Danio rerio: one gene and its partner. The protein of the gene in region 1 binds, or shares a complex with, the protein of each later gene. Links are inferred from orthologs where the notes say so. Each region holds a gene or a part of one and is shown on either strand. Other genes may lie near its edges.

Evidence for each region.
Region 2: the proteins of edar (region 1) and eda are in contact, whole or in part, in a crystal structure (PDB 7X9G), measured with the Homo sapiens proteins. The link is inferred for Danio rerio from reciprocal best matches to the Homo sapiens genes EDAR and EDA. Residues at the interface, in NP_071731.1 of Homo sapiens: Glu55, Pro56, Tyr57, Leu58, Lys78, Ile86, Arg88, Arg89, His90, Asp92, Glu94, Gly95, Phe97, Val134; in NP_001390.1 of Homo sapiens: Gln256, Ser258, Ala259, Gln261, Asp265, Asp273, Arg289, Tyr310, Tyr311, Lys340, Thr341, Tyr343, Ser370.

The regions. Positions count from the first base shown.
Region 1 is NC_133184.1:58,411,502-58,427,900, forward strand, and holds part of edar (tumor necrosis factor receptor superfamily member EDAR), read left to right. Parts: intron 1-7,059; coding exon 7,060-7,160; intron 7,161-8,994; coding exon 8,995-9,120; intron 9,121-9,746; coding exon 9,747-9,821; intron 9,822-13,792; coding exon 13,793-13,865; intron 13,866-16,399. UniProt on the Homo sapiens protein: Receptor for EDA isoform A1, but not for EDA isoform A2. Mediates the activation of NF-kappa-B and JNK. May promote caspase-independent cell death.
Region 2 is NC_133180.1:37,382,316-37,398,714, reverse strand, and holds part of eda (ectodysplasin-A), read right to left. Parts: intron 12,888-16,399; coding exon 12,824-12,887; intron 5,040-12,823; coding exon 5,004-5,039; intron 4,850-5,003; coding exon 4,664-4,849; intron 2,939-4,663; coding exon 2,907-2,938; intron 2,294-2,906; coding exon 2,242-2,293; intron 830-2,241; coding exon 705-829; coding exon of another isoform or gene 699-704; intron 564-698; coding exon 303-563; 3' UTR 1-302. UniProt on the Homo sapiens protein: Cytokine which is involved in epithelial-mesenchymal signaling during morphogenesis of ectodermal organs. Functions as a ligand activating the DEATH-domain containing receptors EDAR and EDA2R. May also play a role in cell adhesion.

The DNA of each region.
Region 1 (16,399 bases):
ATTTGCATAAGGTGAAAAACATTCCACATGTAATCTAGAGTGAGTGATGCAACGCACATTACTGGAATTATTAAAACATTAGCGACACAATGCGATTGGTCACATGACTGCATCACATGACTAAAATGATCATAAATTTCCAAGGCCTCAGTTTTCACCGTCCACACTGAACTCCAAAACACTGCTTCACATTTATCCACTTAGGACAGCGACGTCAAACAGACTGTTTCCTAAAATCTTCGTCTCAGTGTGGACGGAAGGCTGTAGCGGAGAGAAAGATCTGCACTATAACTGAACCCTATCAGTGTGGCCATGGCCTGAGTCTCCTGTCCGTCTCTGTGCTCAGCTTTATCTAGCGCTGCATAAACACACAATTACACTAAACTCTTCCATTCCTGAAGTGAAAGCAAGTCGTGGCCCACACACACACACACACACACACACACACAGTTGCGCAGACAGTGAGCTGACGACTGAAGCCTGGACTCCATCAGCCTGCGGTGCCGCCATGTTTTTCACATTTATTTTCCTTCTCCTGGCCTGAGTTTAGTGTTTGGCAGATCGTTCATAACACGCTTGACTCACTGATTACCAGCACATACCTGAAGCAGTGAGTGTGTGGAACAGACCGCAGGCGCACACACACATTAACACACACACACACACACACACACACAGAAACACTGCTCACTGAATCTCCCACATAGAAATCTAATAAAGGACTCTGTATGCAAATGACACACATGCCATACCCGTTCATATTTGGATTTCATGTTTATAATATACGCAACATATTTTGGGAATATTGACAAATATCTATTGCAATATATATAGTGTTCAGCATAGATGAGTCTCAGATCCCTCTGTTCTCTCCAGGATGCTCTACAGTAATAAATCTGTGCAGATACAGTAGATCAGTCAGTACCAGAGATCACAATCCCACAACAATACACACAAAATAATAACATGCTGGAGGAAAATATGAAATAAGATTTTGTAGTTTGTATATATATTTTTCTAATACCTGGTTTGAAAGTAAAGTCTGATCTTTCTATTCCTGACCATATTATAAAGGATATAACTGATTTATCAAACTCCTTTGTTTAAATGCACCAAAATATACATTGAGAAATTGATGAAAATATTATTTTGTAAAAGTGGGTGTGCTCATTTATGAAGAGCACTATATATTACATATACACTCACCGGCCACTTTATTAGGTACACCTTACTAGTACCAGGTTGAACCCCTTCAGATCTGTCTTAATCCTTGGTGTCAGAGATTCAACAATCTCCTGGAAATATTCCTCAGAGATTTTGCTCCATATTGTCATGATAGCATCACACAGTTGCTGCAGATTTGTCGGCTGCACATCCATGATGCCAATCTCCCGTTCCACCACATCCCAAAGCTGCTCTATTGGATTGAGCTCTGGTGACTGTTGAGGCCATTTGAGTACAGTGAACTCATCGTCATGTTCAAGAAACCAGTCTGAGATGATTGAGCTTCATGACATGCTGCGTTATCCTGCTGGAAGTAGCCATCAGAAGATGGAGACACTGTGCTCATAAAGGGATGGACATGGTCAGCAGCAATACTCAGGTAGGCTGTGGCATTGATGCTCAATTGGTACTAATGGACCCAAAGAAAATCTCCCCCACACCATTACACCACCACCAGCCTTACAGCTGGTCTGGCAGCAACAACCATGCCACGCTCAAAGTCTCTTAAATCCCCTTTCTTCCCCATTCTGATGCTCGTTTTGAACTGCAGCAGATCCTTTTGATCATGTCTACATGCCGAAATGCAGTGAGCTGCTGCCATGTGATTGGCTGATTAGACATTAGTGTTAACGAGCAGTTGGACAGGTGTACCTAATAAAGTGGCCAGTGATTATAATTTAGAAAAAAAAAATTAAACCACTTCAAGTGTTAACTATTATATATATATATATATATATATATATATATATATATATATATATATATATATATATATATATATATGCGTGTGTGTGCTGATTTTAACTCCGCTATCTAATGTGTGAACTTATAAAGAGTTAGCAGAGGCAGACGATCAAACACCATAGAACATTTCCTCCAGATTGAGCCTCAGATTGGTGTGATGGAGTGTAGTTTGAGTGGACTGTAAATATCTAATACGAGGCTCAAGCAGGACAGACGGACTCTGGTTTTGAGCTCCACTGTTGGTTTGATTGATTGCGCATGTGAAAGGGAACAGTTTGTCAGAGCTCTCATATGTTTGACGTCTTTGCTTATTTCTTTCTCATTGCGAGTGTCAAACACACCGTAAGTGAAATAAATGCCTGGAGGAGTGTTTGAGGAAACCTGAAGCCTCATCTGGCAGAAAGCGGAGGCTGATTTCAGGAAAACATCATAGAGGAACATTCTCAATATCGCTGCGTTCCAAACGGGACATATCGCCCTCTTCAGAGTGAAAACAAACATGACTGCCATATTAGAGCACAGCTCCCAACCAAAGTGCTCAAAACAGGCCACTTTGAAGGGCCCTTCTGAGTAAAGGATTGTAAAAATGTTTCTGTCCTGTTTTTAGTCCAAATATCTACAAATTCTTAAATCAAGAAGCCTGTTCTAGTTAAAGCACAACTATTGTCTTGTTTTCAGAAATAATGAGTGAAAATGAAGCAAAATAATCTGACAACGGAGGAAGTGAAATCACCTTAAATCAAAATAAAAAGCAAGATCTTTGGCACCCTCCCGCAATACAAAGTCAATGGAGCGGTTCAGATTGTCAGTCCTCCCCCTCCTGAAACCTGCTTGATCGTCTCATTATTTAAAAAAATGTTTGATCCCTACATCCATCATCCCTTTAAAGCTGTCACTCTCTAGCTAGCGCAAACCCTTTGAAGGGATTAGGGTGTAGGGTTGAGCCCTTCCGAATGGAACGCAGCGTAAATCATTCCAGCACTGATATCGCAGAGTGTGCATCCGCAATACTCACATCAGAGTCTGCAGTGTTCAATCAGGATTACATTTGACCAGAAAACACAGCACAACATTCATGACCAGTGGATTACTGCACATTTATCCACAAACTGACCAACTAGTTTATCATTTGCTGCTGTTTTTAAGGCTTGGGTGACCGTGTGGGCAGCTTTGCTCTACTGCAGCAGTTCTCAAACTTTTTTCACCAAGTACCACCATAATGAGCAGTACTGAAATACAATAGTGTAGTAGGCCTAATTATGCAGCTACAGCACTGCACAGCTCAAAAACCAGGCAGATTAATTACTATTATTAGAAATATGTATTACTGTCAGCCACTTTAATATTATAATAATTATGTACACATTATAAATAGTTTGAACATTACTCACTGTGCTTGCAGACAAAAAAAGATATATATACACACACATACATACAATTTTTTAATACATTTTGAAATATAAGTTGCATGGGCACATGACATTTGTAATTATTTGAAATCTAAATATTAACTTGTATTGTAAATGTATGATTTGGAATTACATATTTAAATAAGAGATTAGCTCTGCTGCTTGTCATTTACAGTAGCCCTGTGTGTCAGATAAGCGAGCGGTTATATGCATATACAGTGTACAGTGATTGACTAATTCATACGTGCAGTATTTCCAGCCTGATCTCACGAGAAGTATTTTACGTTTTGCCAGTTCAGTGGCTAATTTGTACAAATTCCTACGAGTTCAGTCGTGGGAAATTGTACGATTTTAAAAAGGAGGCGGGGCACCTAACCCCACCCCTAAACCCAACCGTCATTGGGGGATGAGCAAATCGTACTAAATTGTACGAATTAGATCGTCTGAATTCATGCGAATTAGCCACTATATAAAAAATTTACGAACTGTTGTGAGATTGCGTTTGTATTTCCATGATTTGGTACAAATGAGATCACATCTTAAGTGAACCATGAAGTTTGCGTTAAACGCGCACTGACAGCTGTTTTCAAGCAGACTGCGGTACAGTTTGCCATCCCTTAGTCTGTGCACACGGACAATAACTAATTACAATCTACCTCTAATCTTCAGGTAAGGTAAAGTCTGAGTCTATGTTCTGTGTCTCGCCTCTTTTACATTTACATTTAGTCATTTAGCAGATGCTTTTATCCAAAGCGACTTACAATTGAGGACAAGGAAGCAATTTACACAACTATAAGAGCAACAATGAAGAAGTGCTGTAGGCAAGTTTCAGGTGTGTAAAGTGTAAGAAGCAAAACATTAGTAATTATTTATTTTTCTGTAGTACAGTTCGCGGTGGAGCCAGAGAGGCAATTGCAGATTAGGAAGGGAAGTGGAGACTAATTAGTTGAGTTTTTCTTGAAGACAGCGAGTGACTCTGCCGTTCTGATGCAGTTAGGGAGTTCATTCCACCAACTGGGCAGATTGAATGCGAGAGTTCGGGAAAGTGATTTCTTCCCTCTTTGGGATGGAACCACGAGGCGACGTTCATTCACAGAACGCAAGTTTCTGGAGGGCACATACATCTGCAGAAGTGAGAGCAGATAAGAAGGAGCAAAGCCAGAAGTCGCTTTGTAAGCAAACATCAGAGCTTTGAATTTGATGCGAGCAGCAACTGGCAGCCAGTGCAAACGGATGAGCAGCGGAGTGACATGTGCTCTTTTAGCTTCATTAAAGACCACTCGTGCTGCTGCGTTCTGAAGCACCTGAAGAGGTTTGATAGAGTTAGCTGGAAGCCCGGCTAGTAGAGAGTTGCAATAGTCCAGTCTGGAGAGAACAAGAGCTTGAACAAGGAGTTGAGCTGCATGTTCAGATAGGAAGGGTCGGATCTTTCTGATGTTATGGAGTGAGAATCTGCAAGATCGAGCAGTTCTAGAGATGTGCTCAGAGAAGTTTAGCTGGTCATCAATTGTTACTCCAAGGCTTTTTACATTTTGGATGCAGTAATGGTTGCCCCGTCCATCTGGATTGAAAAGTTATGGTGTAGAGTCGGGTTGGCAGAAACTTCAAGCATTTCCATTTTCGTGAGGTTCAGCTGAAGATGATGATCTCTCATCCAGTGTGAAATGTCTGACAGGCAGGCTGAGATGCGAGCTGAAACCGAGGGAAACACACCCAAATTAATAAGCTTAAATCTGAGTTAACTAAACTGAAAGCCACGCTGCATTATAAAACAAATAACTTCATATATTGAAAACATGCATTATTTTTCACGACTACGAGCACACATTTAGCACATGTGTAATAATTATTTTAGCAATGATGCAGCGTTTGCAGTAACTGAAATGCCAACACAACAGCACTGGTCTGCAGAAGGGCTTCTCTAGCACGTGTGTATCTGCTCTGCAAGCGCCACGCAGCTCTGTGACTCTGTCACAGTAAACATTCTAAGCACAGCGGTGTAATCGTACGCTTCAGGGAGCAGCCAATGCTATCTGATCACATGAGTCTCGGTGTTATCGTACGTGTCAAAGGGTTAAAAGTGTGTTCATTTTATTTTATTCTTTTATTATTCAGCAATTCTTCCGCGTACCACAAGAAAAAAAGCCCGCGTACCACAGTTTGAAGACCACTGCGATACTGTATTTATCAATGCTTGAGATTGGTTTATCTTATTTTATGCAAATGCACAAAATCCTTGCAATTAATGTAAAATTATGAGTCATTTCCAGAGCCATTTGTTCTTTAATTTAGCCAAAGTATGCTTAATATCGCAATATATATTGCAAAAACATTAAACATAGACACATTTTAAGCATAAATGTACTATTAGTTTATCATCTGAATGTGTTTTCAGGCCGTGTGACTGCATTTCAAACCACTTTACAAATAAAAATGTTGTTTTTAAGTTTAAGAAAAATCAATTGTATGTATGTGCATCTATGGTGAATATACTCCATACAGCAGAGGGCCGCAGCTCTGCACTGTTTTGTTCCAACCCTGCTCCAACACACTTACCTGTAGGTCTCAAACAAGCCTGAAGGACTCGATTAGTTTGATCAGGTGTGTTTAATTAGGGTTGGAACTAAACTGTGCAGAGCTGCGGCCCTCCAGGAACTGAGTTCTACATCTGTGCTATAGAGGACTATTTTATATTTGATTACTGTTTGTGTCTGAATGCTGACAGACTTCCAGAAAACCATGTGTGTCTCTGCTCTACTGTATTCATCAATGCTTGTGATCAGTTTATTATATTTTAAGCAGATGCACTGCTCTACAAGATCATTCCAGCTTATCTAGTTTGATTAATTCTTTCCTAATAGAGTTATTCATTTAATCTAGTGAAAGCATTCTCAGAATATGGCAGAAAAATCAAATATCATAATGTGTATTTTTAATATCACAGAGCCCTAATGCTCATGTGTGAGGTCTGTCGGACGGACGCAGGCTTTTCCTGTGTGTGAACTGCAAGCAGCAGCAAGTTAATAATCTTTTTATTCCCTCAAAACTCTTAATTATTAGACGCGGCAGTGTGCGCTGCGGGCAGCATAATTTGCAGATTACCTGGCGAGTGCGAGCATGTCTTCGCCCGCTGCATACTTTCACATCTACAGCTTTAAAGCGGCTGTTTGTTACCGTTTTTAATTAAATATCATTCCCACCTACTTAATTTCTGTCACCGCACAATAGAAAACAATTAAAGAGGCATTGAAAAGAGCAGGACTGGTGCAGACGTGTTTCTGAACACAAAGACCCTTCACATTCAGCTGGAACAGCGCACAATAAAGTCCCGTCCTCAGGGAACACTTTCACCCATAATCAGCAGCAGAGGGACGGCACGTCTTTCAGTGGTTATTGAGGCTTTTAACAACTCTTTTGATCAAAACTAACAGATAAAACCTGAGTTTACAGATGCTTCGGTAAATGAAATGAACAAGATATTTTAAAAGCCATTAAAGTTAGTTCACCTCATTATTATCAGGTGTTACTGCAGTTTCAGCTACAGTACATGAGCCTCATCTGAACTGAGATGTGTATTAAACTAGTGAAGCAGCAGTGAGTATCATGAAGCTCTGACTGACTCTTCCTCATCTTAATGTAATTTCATCATCATCATCATCATCATTATTATCATCATCATCAGATCCATGTTATTTTCAGGCATGAGGTCCACACCGCCAGCCTCAGGTCGAGCTCCCAGTGTTTCTTCCAGCAGCACCACTATATTCCCTCAGCCAGAGAAAGGTGAGAGTAAACTAACACTAAACCTCTGACTGTACTGAAAATCCAACTGTACTAAATCTCTAACTGTACTGAATCTCAGACTGTACCAAACCTCTGACTGTACTAATTCTCTGACTGTACTGACCATTTGACTACAGGGATACTCTGACTGTTTGGAATCTCCTGCTGTACCACATCTCTTACTTTACTGAATCTCTGACAGTACAGAATTTCTGACTGTACTAATTGTCTTAATTTTTCTAAATATATTAATGTTTCTATTAATATATTAATCTCTATACATACTCTGACTGTACTCAAGTTTAACTGTACTGAATGTCTGACTGTACTGAACCTCTGGTTGTACTTAATTTCAGACTGTACTGAATCTTTGACTTGCTGAATCTCAGCCTGTACCAAACCTCTGACTGTACTGGATCTCCGACTGTACTATATCATGGAGTGTACTGAATCTGACCGTACCAAATTTCTGACTGTTTTGAATCTTCAACTGTATCAAATCTCTGACTGTACCAAATCTCTTACTTTAACTCTTACTGAAACTCTGACTGTACTGAACCTCCGCCTGTACTAAATCTCAGACTATACCAATCCTCTGACTGTACTGAATCTCTTACTTTAACTCTGACTGTACTGAATGTCTGACTGTACTGAACCTCTGACTGTACTGAACCTGACTGTACTGAATCTCAGACTGTACCAAACCTCTGACTGTACTTAATATCCGGCTGTACTAAATCTCATACTGCACTGAATCTCTGACTTACTGAATCTCAAACTGTACTAAATCTCAGACTGTACTGCTCCTCTGACTGTACAAAACATCTGACTGTACTGAATCTCTGATTGTACTAAATCTCAGACTGTACTGAACCGCTGACTGTACCAAACCTCTGACTGTACTGAATCTCCAACAGTACTAAATATCAGACTGTACTAAATCTCAGACTGTATTGAACCTCTGACTGTACTGAATCTCAAACTGTACCAAACCTTTGACTGTACTGAATCTCCAATTTGACTAAATCTCAGACTGTACTGAAGTCTAACTATACTGAACCTCCAACTACTGAACCTCCGACTACTGAACCTCCAACTGTGCCAAATCTCTGACTGTTCTGATTCTCAGACTGGACCAAATCTCTGACTTTACAAAAACTCTGATTGTACTGAATCTCTTACTTTTTCTGAATATACTACTGTTCTGAATCTGCTACTATACAGAATCTCTTACTGTAGTGAATCTCTTTTTTTAATGTCATGTAGTAAATCTTTTACTTTTTCTGAATCTCCTTCACTCAATCTCTGACTGTTTACAACTGTGGTTTGTCTGACTGAACTGAATCTCTGACTGTACTAATCATCTGACTATTTACCACTGTTCAAATGCAACCGTTTATTGTCTGACTGTACTGATTCGCTGACTGTACTGAATCTCTGACTGTACCGAATATCTGACTGTACTGAATATCTGACTGTACTGAATCTCTGACTGTACTCAATCTCAGACACACACAACTGTTTATTGTCTGACTGTACTGATTCGCTGACTGTACCGAATATCTTACTTTACTCAATCTCTGACTGTACTCAATCTCTGATTGTACTGAATCTCTGACTGTACTCAATCTCCTACTGTACGAAATCTCCTACTGTACGAATCTCCTACTGTACTGAATCTCTGACTGTACTGAATCTCCTACTGTACTGAATCTCTGACTGTACTGAATCTCCTACTGTACTCAATCTCTGACTGTACTCAATCTCAGACACACACAACTGTTTATTGTCTGACTGTACTGATTTGCTTACTGAATTTCTGATTGTACTTCAGACCCAACAGGACAGGGTCACCTAGCAACGGCCCTCATCATCGCCATGTCAACCATCTTCATCATGGCCATCGCTATAGTGATGATCATCATGTTCTACATCCTGAAGAGCAAACCGAGCGGACCAGGTCAGAAATACGAACACTCGAGACTACAGTAGCACAACAACACACGGCAGAACATTACCAGATACAGAAGCAGCGCTACATTTAATAGATACAGATAACGCTTCAGATATCACAGTGTGTGTGTGTGTGTGTGTGTGTGTGTGTGTGTGTGTGTGTGTGCGCGCTGGCTCCAGCTGTGCTTATCATCACCTAGTGTATGTGTGTGTGTGTGTGCTGAGCATCACCTAGTGTATGTGTGTGTGTGTGTGTTATCATGTCTGATTCGGTGTGTGTGTGTGTGTGTGTGTGTGTGTGTGTGTGTGTGTGTGTGTGTGTGTTTCTGTTGGCTCCAGTTGTACTGAACATCATTGTAACCCAGTATGTGTGTATTTGTGTATTTAAGTGTGAATTTTAAATGTGCGACTTTGTGTTTGAGAGTAAATATGAGTGTGTGGATGTTTGTGTGTATGAGTGGAAGTGTGTGTTAGGGAGTGTGTGTTTAAATATGTGTCCATGTGTGTTTGAAAGTGTGTGTGTGCTTCGCCTCCACATCTGCAAAATCTCAGTGCTTCTGTAATAATCATTAATGTAACCCAGTGTGTGTGTGTGTGTGTGTGTGTGTGTGTGTGTGTGTGTGTCTCCTGCAGTCTGCTGTTCTGGTCAGCTCATCAAAGCTGTAGAAGCTCAGACAAACATGCAGGAGGAGAAGAAGGAGGCTCAGGGTGAGTGAAAGATCAGTCTCTCCATCCTGCACTTCTGGAATGCTCTTCAGGTTCACACACACACAAACACAAACACACACACACACACACTTGAAAATGCAGGTCAGCGGGGACAGATACACTTGCCTGCATCAGTAATCCAATGCAGACCAGCACACACACACATTCAGACATGCACAGACACAACAAACACACACTAAGACACTCACACACACAAACACAACCCACACACAGTCACACACTCCGGCACAGGACATTTATATCCATAGCTGACACTTTATAATTAGAACCCTGTAACCGTTGACTTTCATGGTGTTTATTTGTCCTACTATTGAAGTCAAGGGTTTCCAGCATTCTTCAAAATACCTTCTTTAGTGTTCAACAGAAGAAAGAAACTTAAAAAAGGTTTAAAACAACTTGAGGGACAGTAAACAGTGAGTGAATTAAAAAAATGTGGGTGAACTGCCCTTTGAAATTTATCATTAACTACAGCTTTTACAATCTATCTAAACCCATCTTAAAGCTCGCACATCATGCTAACACTGCAACGCGGGACACATATTTCAACAAGGAAATGTTAACACATTTCAACATCTACTGCATTATTAAAATCCAAATTCAGGCTAGTCATAATTAATCAATGCACTGTGAGTTAAACATTGAACTAACTGTATTTAGATGAACATTAATATAACCATCAATAAATACAATCAGAGAGGTGTTGTTCATTGTTAATAAATACAGTTGAAGCCAGAAGTTTACATACGCTGTATAAAAAGGCACATAACCATTTGTCAAAAAAATGTCAGATGTTTAATGGGACTTGATTATTTCTCTTTTAGGTAAGTCAGGATTACTATTCTATTTGCTTAATAGCAGAATAACGAGAGAGAGAGAGAGATTATTCTGCCTCTGACACAGCTCAGATGATGGTGTCGAGGTTTTGGAAGTTTCTGATTGGCTAATTGACAACATTTGAGTTAACTGGAGGCACAATAGTATTGAAGGCAAACCTCAAACACACCAAGGTTATTATAGTAAATGAAAACAAAACTACAATGTAAAATATTTGTCGTTTACTGAAATAAAAATAAAGCGAGTTTATGAAGAAACTAAAACTAACTGAAACTGTATTGTAACTAAAATAACTAATTACTAATTAAAACTAACTAACACAAAATTATAGTGTCTTTGTAAATGTATTTAATGTAATCTTACTGGAAGCCGTTTAGAAGTAAATATAATCCGCGCTGCAGGTGTTTGACCCGTACGGCATCTAAGAGTCTGTAATCCTGCTGCCATTGGCCAGATCGAGCCGGTTCTCCTCCAGTCATCCTCGCTGTTGCTCCTGCAACAAAAACAACCAGTGGACATGACAGCAGCACGATGACAGCATTAGATACACTTAAAACTATTACTTTAACATATTTGTGCCCAATAATGGGTTTATTTCTGTATCACCATCACTAACGAATCTTTTTAACCGGATCTTCTAAGTGAACCGGTTAAACAAGTTCACCAAATCGAACTGAATTATTTGAAACGATTTGCGTCTCCAGTAAGCACTTATCCACTATTTACTTTATAACAAGCCTAATACCCCCCTCTGACTCTAAATATCCAATATATACACTGAGTTATTCAGTTATTAGAACAGTAACGTTACACTGAGATCAAATTTGAGAAGCAGTGAACTGATATTACTGCGCATGCGTGATTCAGCAAATTAAACACAAACAGTACAGCCCGCTGTGACTCAACTAAACTTGAACAACTGCAGCGCGGGTAAACCGAGGGCTTAATTAGAAGATCTGGAGAAAAACGAAAGTTTATTTCATAACAGACAATCATAAGTTTAAATAAGTGTTTAAATAAGTGAATCCTGCTTCAGTTGGGCTGCAAAACTTTACTGTAAGACATTTTTCAGATCATGCTGATGTTTTAACTGACTGAAATGACTATTGCTGACTACATAATGAGTCCTGACATCCGCGTTAAAGATCTGAACTTCCCATCACTACTGTGCGTCTAACCTCAGAGCAGCCGTGCACACATACTGTACTGAGGGCTGCTGTCTTGTGGGCTGTTGTATTTGAGTTTGAGGATGGGTAGATGGTTGAGGTAGATGATAGTGGTCATGTGTCCTCTGAATACAGGTTTCAAAACATGTATGGCTGAGTTTTTATAATACAGTATTTATCCTGTTGATTTTGAATCCTGCACCTAACAAATATCCTCACTTAGAAAACAAACTAAAACTAAATCATTTTAAAGTATATAAACTAATAATCATTAGTAAATCTGCCTCTAAAACTAAATAAAACTGACTGAATTGGAAAACAAAAAGTCAAAACAAAATAGAAACTAAAACTAATGAATAACAACTAAACCTTGAAACTCTCTGCTTCCTTGTGTGACAACATGGGAAAATGAAAAGAAATCAGCCAAGACATCCACAAGTCTGTTTCTTCTTTGGGTACAATTTCTAGATGCCTGAAGGTGCCACGTTCATCGGTTCAAACAATCATACACAAGTAAAAACAAGATGGGAATGTCCAGCCATCATAGCGCTCAAGAAGGAGAAGAATTCCTCAAACTGTGTGTATTAACCCCTGAACAAAAGCGAAAGATGCTGTGAAGACGCTGGCTGCAGCGAGTAAGAGAGATTCATCATCCAGTGAAAAGAGTCCTGTACTGACATGTGCTGAGTGACCTCTCAGCAGAGAAGAAGCCATTACTCCAAAAACACCTTAGAAAAGCCAGATTACAGTTAGCTGAATGACACTGGGAACAAGACTGATGTGTGGAGACATGTCCTGTGCTCTGATGGAGCTAAGACTGAACTGTTTGGCCATAATGAGCAGTGTTACATTTGGAGGACAAAGGTGAAAGCGCACAAGCCTAGAACACCATCCCAACTGTGCAGTATGGGGGCGGCAGCATCATGTTGTGGGGTTGTTGAGAAATACTGAAGCAACATCTCAACACATCAGCCAGGACATTACAACTTGGCCACAAATGGCTCTTCCAAACAGACCATGACCCTAAGCACACTGCCAAATGAGTTCACATGTGCTTTAAGGACAGCAGAGTGAATGTTTTGGAGTGGCCATCACAAAGCCCTGATCTCAATCCTATAGAGAATGTGTGGGCAGAGTTGAAAAAGCTTGTGCGAGCAAGACAGCCTACAAATCTGACTCAGTTACAGCAATTCTGCAGGAGGAACGGGCCAAAACTCCTGCAAACTATTGTGAGAAGCTTGTGGAAGGAGACTAAAAACATCTGACCAAAGTTTAAAAGCAAAGCTAATAAATACCAAGGAAATGTTTATAATTCAGCTGAAGTCACATTAATGCGTATGGCAGATGATTTGAGAGCATCACAGGCTGAGCAGAGCGGATGTACGGTGTGATTATGAGTGTTTGATCTGCGCTCAACACTCGTCTAGAGCTGTACAGAAGCTGGTGTACAGTACAGCGTTCATCTCCTGTTTGCTCTCATGCAGGATCATCACTGAATGCTGATTGGCTAACACTTTACAATAATGCTCCATTAGGTCTTGTTAGTTAATGCATTTCTTAATCATACTTCAACATTTACTAATGCATTATTAACATCCAGCGTTAACATTAGTATATGCACCATGAGTTATCTAACATTACATCAATAACATTAACAAATATGCAATAAATGCAGTACTAACTGTTTGCTCAATTTAGTAAATGCATTAATTAATGGAGCATTTATTAAAGCGTTACCGTTGACTTTTATTCCATTAGAAAGCTGTCTGATTTGTAGAATTACACAAATCTGGGATATTAGAGGAATTCATAAATGGAAAGGTTGTGATTTGATTGAATAGTTGATCGCTTCCATTATATGTTCAGTATGGATATTTCTGTTTATTTACATCATTGTGGGCAGATCTGAGATTAATGATCTTCACTGATGTTCAAACCTTGCCTTTGCAGAGAACGTGGTGATCTTCCAGGAGAAGGACGAATTTGACAAACTCAAGCCTTCATCTCCAAAAACAGCCAAAAGGTGAGAGTTAACCAGCTCAACTAACCAGCAGTAACTAACCCGTTTAGAGACATCACAAAGTTTATCAGTCAGTTTAACCGACCTATTAGCCATATCAGTATAACCCGTAAGCCTAGTCAGTCAGATTAACTAACACGTCAACTTCATTAGTCAGATTACCGAACACATCAGCGGTGTCAGTCAGGTTAATTAACTTCAGCTTCATCAGTCAAGTTAACTAACCCAAACCCTCATTAGTCAGTTTAACTAACTCAAAACTTCATCAGTCAGTTTAACTAACCGAAACCTTCATCAGTCAGTTTAACTAACCCAAAACTTCATCAATCAGTTTAACTAACCCAAAACTTCATCAGTCAAGTTAACTAACCCAAACCTTCATTAGTCAGTTTAACTAACTCAAAACTTCATCAGTCAGTTTAACTAACCCAAAACTTCATCAGTCAGTTTAACTAACTCAAAACTTCATCAGTCAGTTTAACTAACCGAAACCTTCATCAGTCAGTTTAACTAACCCAAAACTTCATCAATCAGGTTAACTAACCCAAAACTTCATCAGTCAAGTTAACTAACCCAAACCTTCATTAGTCAGTTTAACTAACCCAAAACTTCATCAGTCAGTTTAACTAACCCAAACCTTCATCAGTCAGTTTAACTAACTCAAAACTTAATCAGTCAGTTTAACTAACCCAAACCTTCATCAGTCAAGTTAACTAACCCAAACCTTCATTAGTCAGTTTAACTAACTCAAAACTTCATCAGTCAGTTTAACTAACCCAAACCTTCATCAGTCAGTTTAACTAACCCAAACCTTCATCAGTCAGTTTAACTAACTCAAAACTTAATCAGTCAGTTTAACTAACCCAAACCTTCATCAGTCAAGTTAACTAACCCAAACCTTCATTAGTCAGTTTAACTAACTCAAAACTTCATCAGTCAGTTTAACTAACCAAAACCTTCATCAGTCAGTTTAACTAACCCAAACCTTCATCAGTCAGTTTAACTAACTCAAAACTTCATCAATCAGGTTAACTAACCCAAAACTTCATCAATCAGGTTAACTAACCCAAACCTTCATCAGTCAGTTTAACTAACCCAAAACTTCATCAATCAGGTTAACTAACCCAAAACTTCATCAATCAGGTTAACTAACCCAAATCAGGTTAACTAACCCAAAACTTCATCAATCAGGTTAACTAACCCAAAACTTCATCAATCAGGTTAACTAACCCAAAACTTCATCAATCAGGTTAACTAACCCAAAACTTCATCAGTCAGTTTAACTAACTCAAAACTTCATCAGTCAGTTTAACTAACCCAAAACTTCATCAATCAGGTTAACTAACCCAAAACTTCATCAATCAGGTTAACTAACCCAAAACTTCATCAATCAGGTTAACTAACCCAAAACTTCATCAATCTGGTTAACTAACCCAAAACTTCATCAGTCAGTTTAACTAACCCAAAACTTCATCAGTCAGTTTAACTAACTCAAAACTTCATCAGTCAGTTTAACTAACTCAAAACTTCATCAGTCAGTTTAACTAACCCAAAACTTCATCAGTCAGTTTAACTAACCCAAAACTTCATCAGTCAGTTTAACTAACCCAAACCTTCATCAGTCAGTTTAACTAACCCAAAACTTCATCAATCAGGTTAACTAACCCAAAACTTCATCAGTCAGTTTAACTAACCCAAAACTTCATCAATCAGGTTAACTAACCCAAAACTTCATCAGTCAGTTTAACTAACCCAAAACTTCATCAATCAGGTTAACTAACCCAAAACTTCATCAGTCAGTTTAACTAACCCCTCAGCAGGGCGCTGGTTTGCAGGCATGTTTGTGCAGCTCTTCTCTCTCAGTGAACTCAGATCAGCCTGAAGCCACTCATTCACAGCTTCACTTCACACACACACACACACACACACACACACACACACACACACAGAGTCAAGCGTGTGGTAATTTAGCAGCGGCGCAGCCAAAACCAGCAGGTGAAAACAGATGAAAACAAACCTCCAGCACTGACGACACAACACTACAGCACAAACACACACATGCAAACACACACACACACACACACACACACACACACACACATACACACAACATATTTAACAACATATCAAATATATATCTGTAACGTATAGGAGCGGCACCGTGGCCAGCACTCTCGCCTCACAGCAAGAAGGTCACTGGTTCGAGTCTCGGCTGGGTCAGTTGGTGTTTCTGTGTGGAGTTTGCATGTTCTCCCCGTGTTGGCGTGGGTTTCCTCCAGGTGCTCCGGTTTCCCCCCAAGTCCATACACATGCGCTATAGGGGAGTTGATCAACTAAATTGGCCGTAGTGTATGAGTGTGTGTGTAGGTGAATGAGTGTGTACTTGTGTTTCCCAGAGATGGGTTGCAGCTGGATCGTTGTGATGGTTGCGGGGGAAATCACTGCCCTGTGGGCCCGTCCGCTACACCACTGCATTTACCATGACTTTCCCCGTCGGACCCACTTGGGAATAGATTTTCCTCCATGTGGCCCCTGAG
Region 2 (16,399 bases), on another chromosome or scaffold:
ATGTAAAGATTGAGTGTCTGCTGCATAGAAACACAGTAGAGTTTCTCACTGGAAGAAAAATAAACACTTCTGTTTGCAGTTCCAGTCCCTGAAAACACTGCAGCTTCACTTCTTCCATGCGCACGTGTGTGCGTCTGTGTGTTTGAGTCTATTTGAGACACACACACACACACACATAGTCTCTCAGCTCATCTAGTCACATAAACCAGTTTTCTAGAACTTTTTTTAAAGTCTGCTTTGGTGTGTAAGGGCTGACAGAGGGTGTTTTGGGTACTGATCTGTGCATGTGTTCAGGTTTGGTATCAGGTGTGTCCTGCAGACGGGGCGTCCCCCAGCCGGATACTGCCCAGGAAGGTGGTGTGGTTGCTCATGGAGATGGAGGTGTCCTCGTATACCATGCGAATGGAGATTCTCTGACGAGCTCGTAACAAACACACTCCGGCTGTGTAGCAGGTGTTGAACTTGCGCTGGCCGGTTTCGATGCTTCTGGTGCAGCGTAAGAACGGAGTTTTGTCCACCATCACCTCGTAACTGGCAATGTCGGTGAAATTCAGGTAATATACCTGGTGCAAACACACACACAAAGCGCATTGGGGCTTTTAATGTTGCTGTGGTATATTTGTGAAACGCATGCTGTATATGTGTATGTGTGTGTGTGTGTGTGTGTATAAGCAGTAGAGTCCAGGGACTGTACTCACTTCTACCTGACTATATATAAAGTATGTTCCGTCAAGTAGGACCTCCAGCTCTCCAGAGCGCGAGTGCATTTTAAACACTCTCTGGTGGATCGAGATCATCCTCCAATTCTTCAGCACACCTTCTGACAAATCTCACAGACAGACACCAGTAAATACTCAATCATCTGTTGTGACTGTAGCGACACACACACACACACACCAGGGCTCAACTGTTGAGAGCTTTTTAATATAAACTGACATTTTCATAAAAAATTCTAATTTTCAATGATCAATAAACTTTAAAAAAAGAAAAATGCCTTTTACACTCTTATTATAATACAGTATTACACTATTTACACTATTATTAAAATATTTTTCATATATTAAACATCTTTATGCTAAAGTATTTCAAAGTGTATCCTTGTGATTCAAAGCATCATTACTTCAGTCATTAGAGTGACAGAATCTGAATAATTTAATATGCAGATTTGGTATTTAAAAAACATCTGATGTTATTATGAATGGAATAAACGATCAATTATCAGTGGAAACTGACACAAATTTCTGTTTGTAATTTTTATGTGAGCAGAAAGTTCTAAAAAAACGTTATTAGTGTTTATTTTTTCAAATTTAATATGTGAACTTGGTTCAATCACACAAAAGCTTAATACAGGGTTTCTGCAGGTTTCATCAAGTCAAATCTAAGACTTTAAGACCTTTTTAAGAACATTGGGAATGAAATTTCAGATTTACATTTTTTTCTGGCCCAGTTAAAACATTAAAAACATTATAAACAAATGTCATTGTAAGGATGATAATTAAACCATATTGGGATATAGAGTTAATAAATAAATGTTTGTTAAAGGTTTTATTGAGATGGATTGGTGGTGACTGGATGTGTGTTGGCCCGATTAGGTGACTTTACGTGGACAGAGGAAAATTAAGACCTGTTTAAAATGATTCAGGACCAACACAATATTTCAGTGAATTCAAGACTTTTAGGGCCTAAAATTCTATTTTTGAAATGTAAGATATTTTAAGACTTTTATTAGGCCCTGAAGACACCCTGTTACATAAATAACCTTAAGATTGATGTATGATCTGTTAAGATGAGACAAATCTGGAATCACATGAATTTTAAAATCTCCTTTTATTATTTTTTATTTTTTAGAAAATTCTTTTAAAATTGCCCCAATTATGTTCCTACTTCATAGCAGTATAAATTATGACGAATCACAAATTATGCTTTTTTTTATATATTCACAGTAGGACATTCACAAAATATATTCTTAATAAATATCTACTTTATATTGTAATGTACCTGTGAAATAAGTTTATGACACAGGGTCACATATGTCACTGCTGTGTAAAAGTATTTATTTAAAGAAAAAATTTCTGACTCAAAACGTCTGACTGGTACTTTTTCCATGAAATATACATTTCTAACAAAGTACACATATTATGGCCAGTGGACCATCCTTACAGCTGAGCCCTTCATACAAAGAAGTCAAAACAAAAACAAAAAAGCATTTCTTTATGAGAAGGATCATTATTTAACTCTTACCTTCTTTCACTTGGATAGTGGTTTCTTGACCTTGAAGATGCACCACAGCTGGCTGCAGAAACATCAAACACATTAAAAAATCTATTATATCTTTGCGCACACTCTGAAAAGCATGATGAAAATGTGCTTGTGTCCATAAAAGGTCCCCTGAAATTAAACTAAGGTTATTTTTTATGTTAATATCAGTATTATGCTAGTATGCTCCAAAATAGTGACAAAATTCACATATAGAAGATATAAAACTGATATAGATATGTAAAGTTTGTAGTTTGTCACTTTCACCTAAATGGATCAATGGTTTTATTCACAACAACCTATACTAGTTTCTTATCACATCATAACAAATTAAATGCTCTCTAGTATATGACATGCCCCACCCCCTTCAAGACGCTTCTCTTTTGCTTTTCATTTGATGCGCTTAGGCTAAACCATTCTTACAGGCAGAGTGGTGATGAAATAAAACTCTATTGGCTGTTTTTTTTTTTAAAGGGGAGGAGCTACACAATGTCCCACCCTCTATTCATGTTTTGGTTGAGATTACTTGAAACATCGAATAAAAATGCACATTTTAAAGCATTTCACAAGACCTTTAATCTACACTCCCTAATATCATCTCTTTTATATGGAGTCATGTGCAGTGTGTCTGTGGAGATGAACACACATACCTGTGCCTCTCTGTGTTTGCCTTTCTCACCACCTGTTAACACAAGGGGAAGGGGAAAATTAGATGGGTTTAGTGTCTGTTAAGTGACAAATTATTGTGATAAACTTTGAATCATGTAATTGTAAATGTCAAAGCTGTTTTGTGTATAATCCCTTCACAGCAGGAGTGAAGGCTTCCACACATCTTTACAACTAGCAGAGCTGAACAAAACACTGATGACCAGCGTGAAAGACATTCAGGACAAGTGATGGATTTTACACGACTGTTTCAGACAACAGGTTTATCATTTCCATGTGCTTTTAAGTGCAAATGTGTGAACGTTTGGGCTATTTAAAACCAAATGTAAGCAGTTGTGAATGCGAGAAATACAAGATGTATCGTTTTTAGCACACAGTTCAAAACAACCCATTTGGAGTTTTGATATTTATTATACATTGTATATTTACATATATATATTTTTCTTTTATGTCTTCTTGAAGAAAAGTAGTGAATATGACATTTTACCTTCTTGATCACAAATCATGTTGCACTGCTTGTTTACTTCAACCTTAAAATACTTCTTTTACACAATATTGTTCTGTCTATGTACTTGTATAGTCTGTCTTAGGTTGTGTGTATTTACAGAATGTGCATAGTTAGTAGTTAGCATAGTTAGATTACCACTTTGATATGTTAGTTATATATAGGTTTAAAATACGTCCAGTGTTGTGTTTAGAATTATGATTATGTTTATTTATGTAGCACTGTAGTCCTGCAAGACACAACATTTCATTCCACTGTATATCTACATGTGTAGCGGAATGACAATAAAAAGCACAACTTTAACTTGAACTGGCATCTCTATTATTATACTGGGTCAGTGCATTTTGTTCCTGAATGGAAAAACAATTGTTTTTCTAACAAGGATTATTACATGGCTCTCTGGAAAACTTGGTCAAAATGAATGCTTTTTCCCCTGATAGCATAACCAATTAAACAGGCTCAATTAGATACTTATAAATAGCTTTATATTTAATTAAATGGCTAATAAATGATTACAGCTCAGATCAATGTCTTGTATCTCGCTGTTCTGTCAAGTAACAGAGTAATGCGTTTCTCCTCATGCTGGGATTTTGATAAGCTGGTCAGGTTTTGTTCTGTGATAAAAACCAGCAGGATGTACATTATTCCTTACTTAATCTATATTTATTTTTATTATAAAGAGGATTCTACTATATCAAAACTGGAACAAAACTAGTGAAATACATCTTGGTCTCAAAAATGATTAAACTACAAAATAACATGCTTAGAATAACACAAAAAATCGGCACTGATAGCCTTGTGGGTAGTGTGCCGACATATAGAGCCACTGTGCTTCTGGAGTCCTGAGTTCATGTCCCAGCTCACAAACCTTTCCCAATCATTTTAGCTTATATCCTGTTATTATAAATGGCAAAAATGAAACAACTAAATTGAAAATTTTAAACAATGAATTCCTATGGACTACAAAAACACGGCACTGCAATGCAGCCCCATCATTTAAACCATGGGTCTCAAACACAGCTGATCCAAATAATCAAGGGGTTTGAGACTCTTTTGAACAACTTAATTATTTGGATCAGCTGTGTTTGATTAGGGTTGGAGCAAAACTGTGCAGAGCAGCGGCCTTCCAGGAATTGAGTTTGAGACCCATGGTTTAAACTGATTTTGCTCTGCTGCTTCACTCTAGATGTGAAGTGCTCGCTTTGACTGTATGTAGAGGCAGGTGTCAGTCTTAACCTGAAGGTCCCTGAGGTCCAGGTGGTCCTTGTGGTCCAGGTGGTCCTTGTGGCCCAGGAGGGCCGGGTGGGCCAGAGGGACCCATGGCGTTGCTGCCTGGAATTCCTGGGATCCCTGGTATTCCAGGTGGACCCTGTGGACCAGGTGGCCCCGGAGGTCCAGGAGCACCAGGGGGCCCTTTCTTGCCTAAAGACATAAAGAGAGAGAGAAAGGAAAGCAAGATCAGTCTCCCATAAGCTGAAACATTGAAAGCACTTAGAAACAACTGATGAGAAGCAAAACAAAGCTCCTAAAACTGCCACTCAATTTTCAAATAACAGCGAGAGGATGATGAAATTACCTTTTTTTCGCTCGCCTTTCTTTTTTCCATTAGTTTCTGGATGAGGAATAAGCAGAAGGAAGAAAGACAATCAGTTGGAAATGTATCATTTTACATTCACAAATCACACATGCAACAAAATGTTCCTCTTGAAATCCTGTTTCAGATTCCAGAAAAAGCGGATGATTTATTCCAAGAGATGGTTTATTTGCTTCAAAGTGGCTAAATTGATAATGACGCTCACATGACCACAGAAAAACAAACCCATGTGTAATTTGAAGGACAATTGCTTCTGCTGCTGTCTACAAATACACACATGCACACGCACACGCACACACACACACACACACACACACACACACACACACACACACACACACACACACACACACACACACACACACACACACACACACACACACACACACACACACACACACACACACACACACATTTCAGTACTAAAGCAGCATTGGATCCTCTAACATCCACATGTATAATGTTGATAACATATGTGAATGAACAATCTATAATACAACCGATCAAACACACAAGCAAATCTACATTTGTATAATCAGAGCTTATCAGTGATGAACAAGTAGGACAAAGACTTTTATAGCTAAAGTCTAGGGTAAACACCCACACGCACAGGGGACTTCACATAGAGATAATGACTTTCATACTGTACAGACTGTATTTTCTATCCCCCTACCCAAATTGACCAACAATTTAAGTCCCCACTGTGCTACAAGTTCCCTTGAGTGTGTGCATTCAGGTTTAAGTCCTCACTGGGATTTAAAAACGAGCACACATACACTCACACACACACACACGCACACACATAAACTCTCAGGAGACGGATCTGTGTTCCTAAGGCCTGAGGTCACTCTTGTGTTTGTGTTGGCTAGTATTCGGGGGTCTTTTTTTTTCGTAATAAAACTACTTCAGCTCATTTGTAAATGACTGCCGCTTTCATTGTGTTGTCTGGTGGGCTTCGCACGCGATATCTCTTTTTCTCAAAACACAGAATATCAAAACTGGAGACAAACAACTTGCTGCCTTTAATCTTTTCCTGTAATCGTTCTTTTTTTCTCATTATATGAAAATCAACTAGAGTTGAAAGAAAGACCAATATGCACTTATATGAAATCAAACACGAACAACCAAAACCAAACATGACACACAGAATAAGCATGCAAAGAACTTGACCTGCCTTCAGTGGCGCTCTGCAGAGCTCCCCGTCTTCTTGAGAAAACAATCAGGAGTGAACTCAGCGGACAGTTATTTCAACACAAACCCTGCATCTTTTACACATGCCAGCTGCAATTCAGTTCAAGCAGCTGCAAATGCCAGGTGCAACCAACACTGCGCTTTCCCTGGCCATGAAAAGTGGAGGGTTTAACATAGCTGATCAATTAAGTCTTGATTTTGTATTCAATTGAGTCTATTTTTAACACTTTTGTGAATTTCAAAGAAAAACAAAAAGCACAGACTAATGGTGTGCAATATTGACAGATCTCAACATCAGACTGCTTCTTACTCATTACAGCACATGTACAGCATACCTCTCCTGCTTGTTTGTATACAATAACTGATCCTTGAGCTCTGTCATGTTAACAGCTTGTAGAAAAGTCTCATTGGGGCTGTGGCTATTTGCCCTTAATTGTAAACAGAATTCTTGTATCCTGTATTTTTCTCAAAATTTTTCTCAAAAATTGTATTTATTTGCATATTTGTGTATATTTTTAAAGGTTTTGGCTGGAATGGCATCCGCTGCAAAAAACATATGCTGGATTGGCAGTTTATTCCGCTTTGGCGACCCCAGATTAATAAAGGGACTATGGCGAAAAAAAAAATGAATGAATGTATATTTTTACAGTCTTTCTATAGTGTTTTGGGCTCAGTGGTTAGCACTGTTGCCTCACAGGAAGGAGGTCGCTGGTTCGAGTCCCGATTGGGTCAGTTGGCATTTTTGTGTGGCGTTTGCATGTTCTTCCCATGTTCATGTGGCCTTTCTCCGGGTGCTCTCCCAGCAGCCACACAACATCACAAGACGTTAATATTAGGTTAGATTTAAGTCGTAACGTCAGGTGACCAAAAATCTGTTGAGCCAGCGTCTAACAACAAACATTATTCTGTCTTCCACAAACAACATCAAATGACGTTGATATTTGGTTGATTTTAGGTTGTGTTAGAAAGTAATCAGAATCTAACGTTGAGCCAACATCTTAAACCAAGTCATATTGACATTAAATACGGACATTTATTGGTCAGGTATGGCAACCAAAATCAAATGTCTGGTAGATGTCATAGTGGTAACTTCCACACAACGTCAAGCTGTAACATCTCGTTTGGTTGATTTTAGGTTGGACGTTGACGTCCGCCTCACGTTGGGATCTGATGTCAACCCGGTTTTCATTTCCAAACAAAATGCATTGTCCCCATGACATTGGGGTACAACGTAAATCTAACGTCATGTTGACATCCTGTGCCTGCTGGGCTGGTTTCCCCCACAGTCCAAAGACATGCGCTATTGTGTATGGGTGTTTCCCAGTACTGGGTTGCAGCTGGAGGGGCATTCACTGTTTAAAACATATGCTGGATAAGTTGGCACCTCATTCCGCTGTGGCGAGCCCCCTAAAGGCACAAAGCCAAAGGAAAATAAATGAATGGTGTTTTGTGTTATATGTAGGCTTCTAGTGTCTGAGAGTAACACAATTTCAATTCTCTGTATGCCTTGCATTTATCGTTAATAAATTTATAATGCAAACATTTATAGGAACTGACAATAAAACTAAAGATACATTGGCTAGTTTAGGCCTGTGTTTAAAAATAAATACACTAAACTGCATGCAAGTGGTAGCAAGGCTGTTTCAATGAGGGATTCACTAAATTTAAAATGATCTGTTATAAATGAAGCGATTGGCTTTATGAATTGATTACAGACATAACTGACAAAAAACTATATTGTGTCTAAAATGTAATACAATATTAACTTTTTGTTAAAACAATTAAAAGAAAAAAAAATCATATTCTTTAATCATGTTTACAACTAAAGTTTGGGAAAAAAAAAAACTCGTTTTATTACTAAAAAACAATACAGGGTTTTCTCTCTCTCTCTTGAGTTAAGCTTTATAATAGCTTCATCATGCAGTGAATGCTTTAAGAACGCTTCATTTTTTGCAAAGTTTGCGACATCATCATGATAGTCAGCTTGCACATTCTTCAAACATTAATGTTGATAGTATTGTAGTCTGTAAATATCACGCCACTGTAGCGCAGACAACTAATTTATAATAATTTATTTCAACTAAAAAAAAAAAAAAATAAAAAAAAAAATAAATATATATATATATATATATATATATATATATATATATATATATATATATATATATATATATATATAAAAAACTGTATAAAGGTGGCACAGTGTCTTAGTGGTTAGCACTGTCGCCTCACAGCAAGAAGGTCGCGGGTGCGAGTCCCAGCTTGACCAGTTGGCATTTCTAGGTGGAGTTTGCATGTTCTCCTAGTACTTGTGTAGGTTTCCTCCGGGTGCTCCAGTTTTCCCTACAGTCTAACGACATGCGCTATAGGTGAATTGAATAAACTAAATTGGCTGTGAATGACAATTTATGGGTGTTTCCCAGTGTTGGGTTGCAGCTGCAAGGGCATCCACTGAGTAAAACATATGCTGGATAAGTTGGCTGTTCATTCCACTGTGGCGACCCCTGAAGAATTAAGGGACTAAGCTAAAGAAAAAATAACTGAAAAAAATGAATACTGCATAAATCAACCACAATATACCCCAAAATAAATGATTTAAAAGGGACCTATTATGCAAAAACACAAAACACTGTGTTTAAACACAGTTGTGTGGCAACAGTGTATTAATTTAGCCAGCTAATCCACATCAATTTGCTAAACATAATTTAAACATCACCCTACATATTAGTAATCACTGGGTTTGTGAGATAATTGATCCTGTAAATTTACAGCAGTGATTTAACCAGTGTATGAACTCCCTCTGGTGGTGATGGTGAGCTTCAGAGAGAGATCACACAAGAAAAGCAATAGGACAATGAGCTTATGACTACATTTGAGACAATTTAGAGGTAAGAATCTTTCATGAGTATTTTTCTAAATGATCACAAATCACAGTAATGCTTAATTTAATCAGACAAGCACAGTATTGTGAGTTTTACTGGCTAAAATAGAAATCCATAAAACTGGTATGCATGTGTGCACGTGTGAATGTATACAAAGAATTCATAGGGAGGGCTCCTTGACGGTGGGTTTGTCTGTGTTTGTTTTAAATGGGAGAAAAAAACGAACGAGTGTTAAAAGTCTTTAATGAATGGAACAAATTAGCATCAAAGACAGACAATATTGGAACCATATTTCACAGCAAACATGCAGCTGCACACACAAACACACCGAACACCAGCTGTACATTCACAAAGTGCATGTTTATGAGGCCACAAAGTGAGTGAGTTTGTCTATGTCCATGTGCAAGTGTTTTGACCCTTGAATCTGTGAATTGGGAAGGAGACGGCATGACTTTTTGATCACAACGATGGATTAGAAATGGCTTCCTTATTGAATTACACACAGGCACTCACACACTATTTGGCAGTAGATGGAGCAACTTGTGCATCAAAACTAAATGCTTTGATTTTATACTAGAATCTAATCAATTAAAACGGGTTGTCAACATTTCATGGAAATGTAGTTTAACAGAATTAGAACCAAGTCATAAAAATCACGTAAAATATGAGTTATATTGTGCGCGCACGCTGTTCAAAACATGTTCAAAACACAGCGTTGAGTGAGGTCTGTATTCTTCAGCACACACATAAGAGCCGCATGCAAAATCCTATACATCTATATTCCAGTAAGTTATGGATTTCTTAACATCCATGCACTGCTGTCAAATATACAGAGATTTAAGCTCGGATTATTAAAAGCATGCTGTATCTGCAGAGTTCAAGACTGAACAGCGTTGTGATTCACCTATGAATACATGTAAATGTGCTTAGATTACTTCTAAGGGTAAAGCCAAGTGTGCTTTTCTCAGTAAACCCTGAAACACAATAATTGCCTTTTGTGTTTGCATTGATAACTTGCCAGAACGGGCATTTTGGCCAAGAAGGATTTGACCGTTCACACGCGCTCGCATTACCACAAGGTAATATAGAACAACTGTCTAGCGGTGCGATGGGGCTGTTCGCGACAATTTATGGTGGTAAAACAATACAAACCGCCCTAAGGCTTTCTATTCTTTTTTTTTTGCAACAGTGTAATTACAGTAAGTGCAGTTATACTCTCATTTGTAGGTTATGAACTCGGACAGAAAAAGTGAAACGAGAGTGTAACTGTAACACTGTAACCTAAAATGTAACTTTGTTTTGAGACATATTAATAATGGTGTATTTTTTTTATATAATGAGTCAAACTAGATGAAAACTGCTGATGGAATCACAATACTGAAATTGCACAGCATTGTTATAGTAGCTTAAACAAAATGAATTTTTTATTATTACAATTGATGACATTTTTAGAATTCTCTTTTTAGGAATGCATGCCATCAACTCATTAAAGTGTGTGTTGTATTCACTTTCTTTAATGCGCCAAAAATCCTTTAATTCACAAAATTTTTTTTAGGCTTGCTTGAGGTGGTTTTGGACGTGTGCGAAAAAGTGTTGCAAATAATAATACATTTTGACACAGTGAACATTACACCCATGTGACTAATCAGCTGTCTCCACCATTACTACAATCACTCTAGATGGAAAAAAACCTAGTTCGCATTTGAAATGTAGTGCCCTATCAAACAACAGGCGCAATAAGGCGCAAGACGTGTATGGTGCGATTTGTTGTTATTTTCAGACCAGCATAAAAAAAAAAAAACACTGCATCAATGCCTTCTTCATGTCGGGGGGCTTTTTCAGTTTATTTCAATTTGAATAATGTTATTATTATTAGCTGTATTATTTATTATCTGCATATTTATATTTGTTTGAATAAAAACAAGCTTAGATTTGTCCCCCTGTTGAGTTTTGGAGATGTATGCATCAGCATATGGGGCATGAGAATAGGACGTTTGTTTCAATATAGCTCAGTTTTTTTGAACACACTTCATTATTGTTGATTTATTCTTTTGCTGGAAATTAAAACTGAATATAGAAATAGTTTTGAAACAAATCTTGGCACTTAACATAACAAAATTAAATATGTAGGCTGATGAATGTTTTCAGTGCAGTGCTTATAATACCATTTCCTTTTCCATGAAGGTAAAGGAGTAAAGAGTAAAAGAAATATGAAGTAAAGAGGCCAAATGGAGGAGGCTCATTCTTTAGTCTCGTTCTGGTCTGTTGAACTGTTTTCTCGCTAGTTAAGCATTTAATTTTTCCTCTTACAAAGTCTGTCATGTAAATAGCAAATGCACCATGGTGTGACGCAACTGACTCTTAAAGGGAATGTGAGATGAGACTCTGATTGGTTTAATGCATGTTATGCTCAAAACACACCCAGAACTCATTAAGAGAATAAGAACAACCCTGTTAGACCATGCGCCGGGGCGCAAAGCGTATTTTTCCATCCTTACAATAGCAAAAGCTGATTCGGACACACCTTTAATTTATTAGACTTTGTGCGTAGATCATTAAAATAGAGCCCCTAGACTTTTTTTTGCAAACTTTGAAAGCATTTGCTTCATGCCATACAGGAAACCCAACTACACTAGAAAAGAGAAGCATGACACAACACTAAAAACAACAGATTCCACAGTGATCAGTGATTCCTTCTAGATATGACGTAGTTGGTGCAATGTGACACAGCCAATCCAGACAGTAAACTGATACATCATTTTATTTCTGATGAACTCCATGCACTATTAACACAATTCAGGACACATAGATTCACAGCAGTCACTTTTCTGCAGTCAGATTACAGCTATTGCAATGCAACGCAACAGAGGTAAAGGAAAAATGAGACTAAAATATGCCAAATACGTTACATTTTAATACTTATTATTGTATTATTCATGTCAGGGTACAACAATGTAATTTTACTTGAGCCTAAAGTGTATCATATGCTCCACTGTATAATGCTTTCCTGATCCACACACACGCACACACATGTACACACACACACATAATTAGCACATCTGGATTGTTAACTTCAAACTGGATTATATCATACACCGCATGTGTCTTGTTCATCAGTGAACTTGCTCCAGCGTCGTTTGCGATGGCATGTGTGTGTAGTCTGCGTGCGCGTTATCTGTGTTGTATCGGTATTTGCTTTGGCACACAACACACACAGGTGCAAAAAGCTGAAACAGTAGAGCTCCTGATCAGAGCCAGTGAGTGCAGAGCTGTAATCAAAGCCAAAACCACCTGCCAATCAAACGGCTGCCAACTGGAGCCAATCACGGCAGTGGAAAGAGGAGTAGGTAACTAAAAGCTACAGCCGGCCAATGAGAGGAAGAGAGAGAGAGAAAAGAGGGGCGCAATATCGGTTTGTTAGAAGCTACTAGAGTGGAAAAAAGGAGAGGGATTTCACATATAAACTACTGGTGCGCACAGCATAGCCCAATAATGAGTAAGATGGAAGGAATGAACGAGGGGGAGAAGGAGAGTGAGAGGTAGCCTGATCAAATGAAGGAAATGCATCTCGTTTTGAACTCGAAACCACATCAAAGTGAAAATGCTGGCAATCTCGCAGGCCTTATATATACACACACACACACACACGTATACACACTCACATGCACACTTAATATGAGCTCTACATTTCATGAATACCAACACACACAAAAGGTTTTCTTTTTTTACCTGAACGTTTGGTGCGATGAATGACTCTATCCAGGCCTCTTGTGTGTTCATCCCTCCATCTGCTCTGTGAAGATGAAGGAATAAGGGTTTTTTGAAATGCAGTACAGAAGAATGAAATTAATTCATGGAGCCGTTTCAAAGCATTTTAGAGTTTAACTCGAGTTTGAGTTCGAGCCAAGACATGATCAATGAAACTAATCCACTTCTTCATAAAATAAATGTCACCATGTAAAACTAAAACTACACGCATACAAACGCACACACCTCTCTGCTGACAGACAACACTCTGAACATAATGAACATAATGTGTGTGTGTGTGTGTGTGTGTGTGTGATGAGAAACCCTGTGGATTTACAGCAGTAAGACATTCCATTGGGATGATCCAGCACACAAACACACACACACACACACACACACACACACACACACACACACACACACAATCACATAAACTTAATGAATTATTTAAAAAGGAAATACTTTTCTTATCATTATCTCGCATATGAACAAAGTAATAGCACTGTAGGCCTAAAACACACACACACACACACACACACACACACACACACACACACACACACACACACACACACACACACACACACACACACACACACACACACACACAGACAGACAGACACACACAGCACGCACGCACAGCACGCACGCACGCACACACACACATACATAAGCAGAGAGTTTTTATGAATACATTTTAATGATCCTTTCTCTTATGATATCTTCATGTGCACTTCTATTTTTCTTCTTCTTTCCTCATGTTTAAATTTTCTTCTGTATTCCAATTCAAACTCCTTCCACTTCTACCATCTCTTGTTCCATTTCTTCCTCATTTCCTACAATTTTTGCACTCCCTGATATTTCTTTTATCAATTTTTCTATTTTAATTGCTTTTCATTCTTTCTTTTTCTTATTCCTTCACTCCTTCAATTTTTTCCCCTTTTTCTTTCCTTTCAAAATTTTTCTTTCCTTTCTCAATCCTTTTCCTTCTTTCTTCCTCTCATGTCTTCTTAGGTAATAGGTTTCTTATTTCCTTCAGTTATTTCTTCCAACCCAACATTTTACATTGTTCCTTTCATTTTCTTTCTTTTCATTTTTGCTTACTTCCTGATTTTCATCCTTCCAAATGTTTTTTTTCTTTTTTTTCTTTCTTCCTTTTTTACTTTCATTTCTTTCCACCTTCCTACATTTCCCCTTGTTCCTTCCCTATTTAGATTCCTTTTTTCACTTTCTAATAATTCTTTTGGTCACACTTCACAATAAGGATTCAATAGTTATTGCATTTACTAGGGACCCTCCGGTCGATCGGCCGGACTTCACTGCAGTTTACTGAGTGCAAACACAGACGAGCAATCTGCTGATAAATCAACTGATTTTCCTGACTTTAAAATGCTCCAGAGTTCATGTGTCTGTGTTTGCACTTGGTAAAAAGTGGGCAACTGATGACCTTCACAGCCAATCACTGTCATTTCTAGTGAATACTATGGCAAATGAGTGCTGTTTAAGAACGTGCTCAACAGCGCTGCACGTTGCAACGCGTAGTTACATTTTTTGAGAGGTGCACGTCAAAGGTCTATGCGTCAGCGCCGTAGCATACGCCAGCGTTTGACGCAGAAGTATAAATCAGCCTTTAGGGTGCTTTCACATCAGTGGTTCAATTCATTTGGTCAAAGTTTTAATGCATTGTAAAAGGTGAAGGCGCATCGCAAGTCACTTCAGGTGGAAGCGTATTTCTGGAAATATTACCAATGATCCATTAGGTAATGTTTTTCCCTCTCTCTCTAGGACCATCCCAAATTGCAAACTTATGCACTATTCTATGCCATTTTGTAGAATAGGCAGTGAATTCACACGGAAAACTCAAATAGTAAGTGCACTTTAATTACCCGGACGATGCACTTATTGGAATGATGGACACTTCATGCACACTGCAGTTTTGCTCACGTAGCGGAAAGGGCAGAGCTATCGGCCGCACATGTTGGATAACTTGATTTATTTTGGATGGTGAAAGAAATAAATTCTCCTATGAGAGCGAGTAAAGTGCCTACCGATGGTGAATGCGGTTATACTCATGGCAGGTATTATTTAATAGTTTGGTCATTTAATTCACTGATTTGGTAACCGTCAAACATCATCTGGGAAAAGGTTTAAATTTTCGCTTAGTAAAAAAAACATCAGTGCTCCATTTGCGACAACACTACATATATATACTATGCTGTTGAGTGTGTAAGTGAATAAATACATAGTGCATGAGTGTATAGTGTGACAATAGGAACGCAGCTTCTGTTTAAAATTGTTGATTAAGCGCTGTCAACTAATATTTTTCCTCCACATCCCACAATTTACAGCGCTTCGGCCTACGGCAGCTGGATAAGTTCAAAAAGGTGCAGTATTTTTTGCGGTTGGGTTTGTTCTAATTCGGATCATTTTCTCATCACAAACAAACCACTCCAGGGTTCGTTTAAAAGCATACCAAGACAACCTCTTCAAGGAGGTCTCGGTACGCTTTTTAGTCCGCTTTTGGTGCGCACTCGAGTGCGATTGCTACATCCTGCCCAAACCAACCGCACCAAGATGGAAAACAAACTCTATTTTGATTCAACCGAACTAAATAAGGCAGGTGTGAAAACATCCATAAGCGTATTACTCTTAAAGAGATTATGATGTGATTTGATGCCTAATGTGCTTTTAATTGTTTCAATTAAATTTACCTGAATGACATTAAAGCGATGTTTACACGATAGCTGCACTTTGAAATCGTGGCAACTGCTGGAGGTTTTTTAGTCCACAGCATGTTGTTGCAATGTTTACAGTGGTGATCCTATATTTTCGGGTTCTCTTCTTGCTTTCGTTTTTTCAAATGACAGCTGTGTGACATAAGCTTATAATTACCAAGGTGGTAGTTGAGTTTAGGTATGGGATTAGGGATGCAGAATAAGATCATAATTCAGAAATACTAATAAACATCTTAATATTAGGCAGGTAATAAGCCAGTAGTTAATAGAGAGAAATGGAACTAAAAAGTGTTACCATTCTCTCTGCCTCTTTTTCTTCTTTTTTTCTTGAATCTTTTCTAAATTTGCATCTTAACTGTCACTTATTGTACACGTAAAATAACCCTATTGTGACTGCGATCATTTGAGGTCGCAATAAAAGGATGCTCAGCCAGATATCCACAAACACACACGGCTAATCCTACATCTTGTATTGAAGAGGATAATGATACTTTAGGATTGTTCCCATGCGAGTCAGTGAATGAAGTGGCTGAGAGAAGAGAAACTCTGGGTCATCTGCAGTAGCACATATCCGTGTCTGTGTCAGTAAGACAGGGAACACAACCCGGCTGCGTTTCACAGTAGAGTCATGTTACAAGACCTAGACTGCCGTTATCGTCTTCATTGCTCGTCTTTTTTCCCTTTTGTTGATTGCAGCATTGTTGGAGGAAAGAAAAAAAAAAAGAGTCTGAATTCACACACACTCATAAAGCGAGGTTGGCGGGGTCATGCAGCTGTGTCTGGGTAAAATTCAAGTTATTTATGTGATTAGAGAAGCCACTAA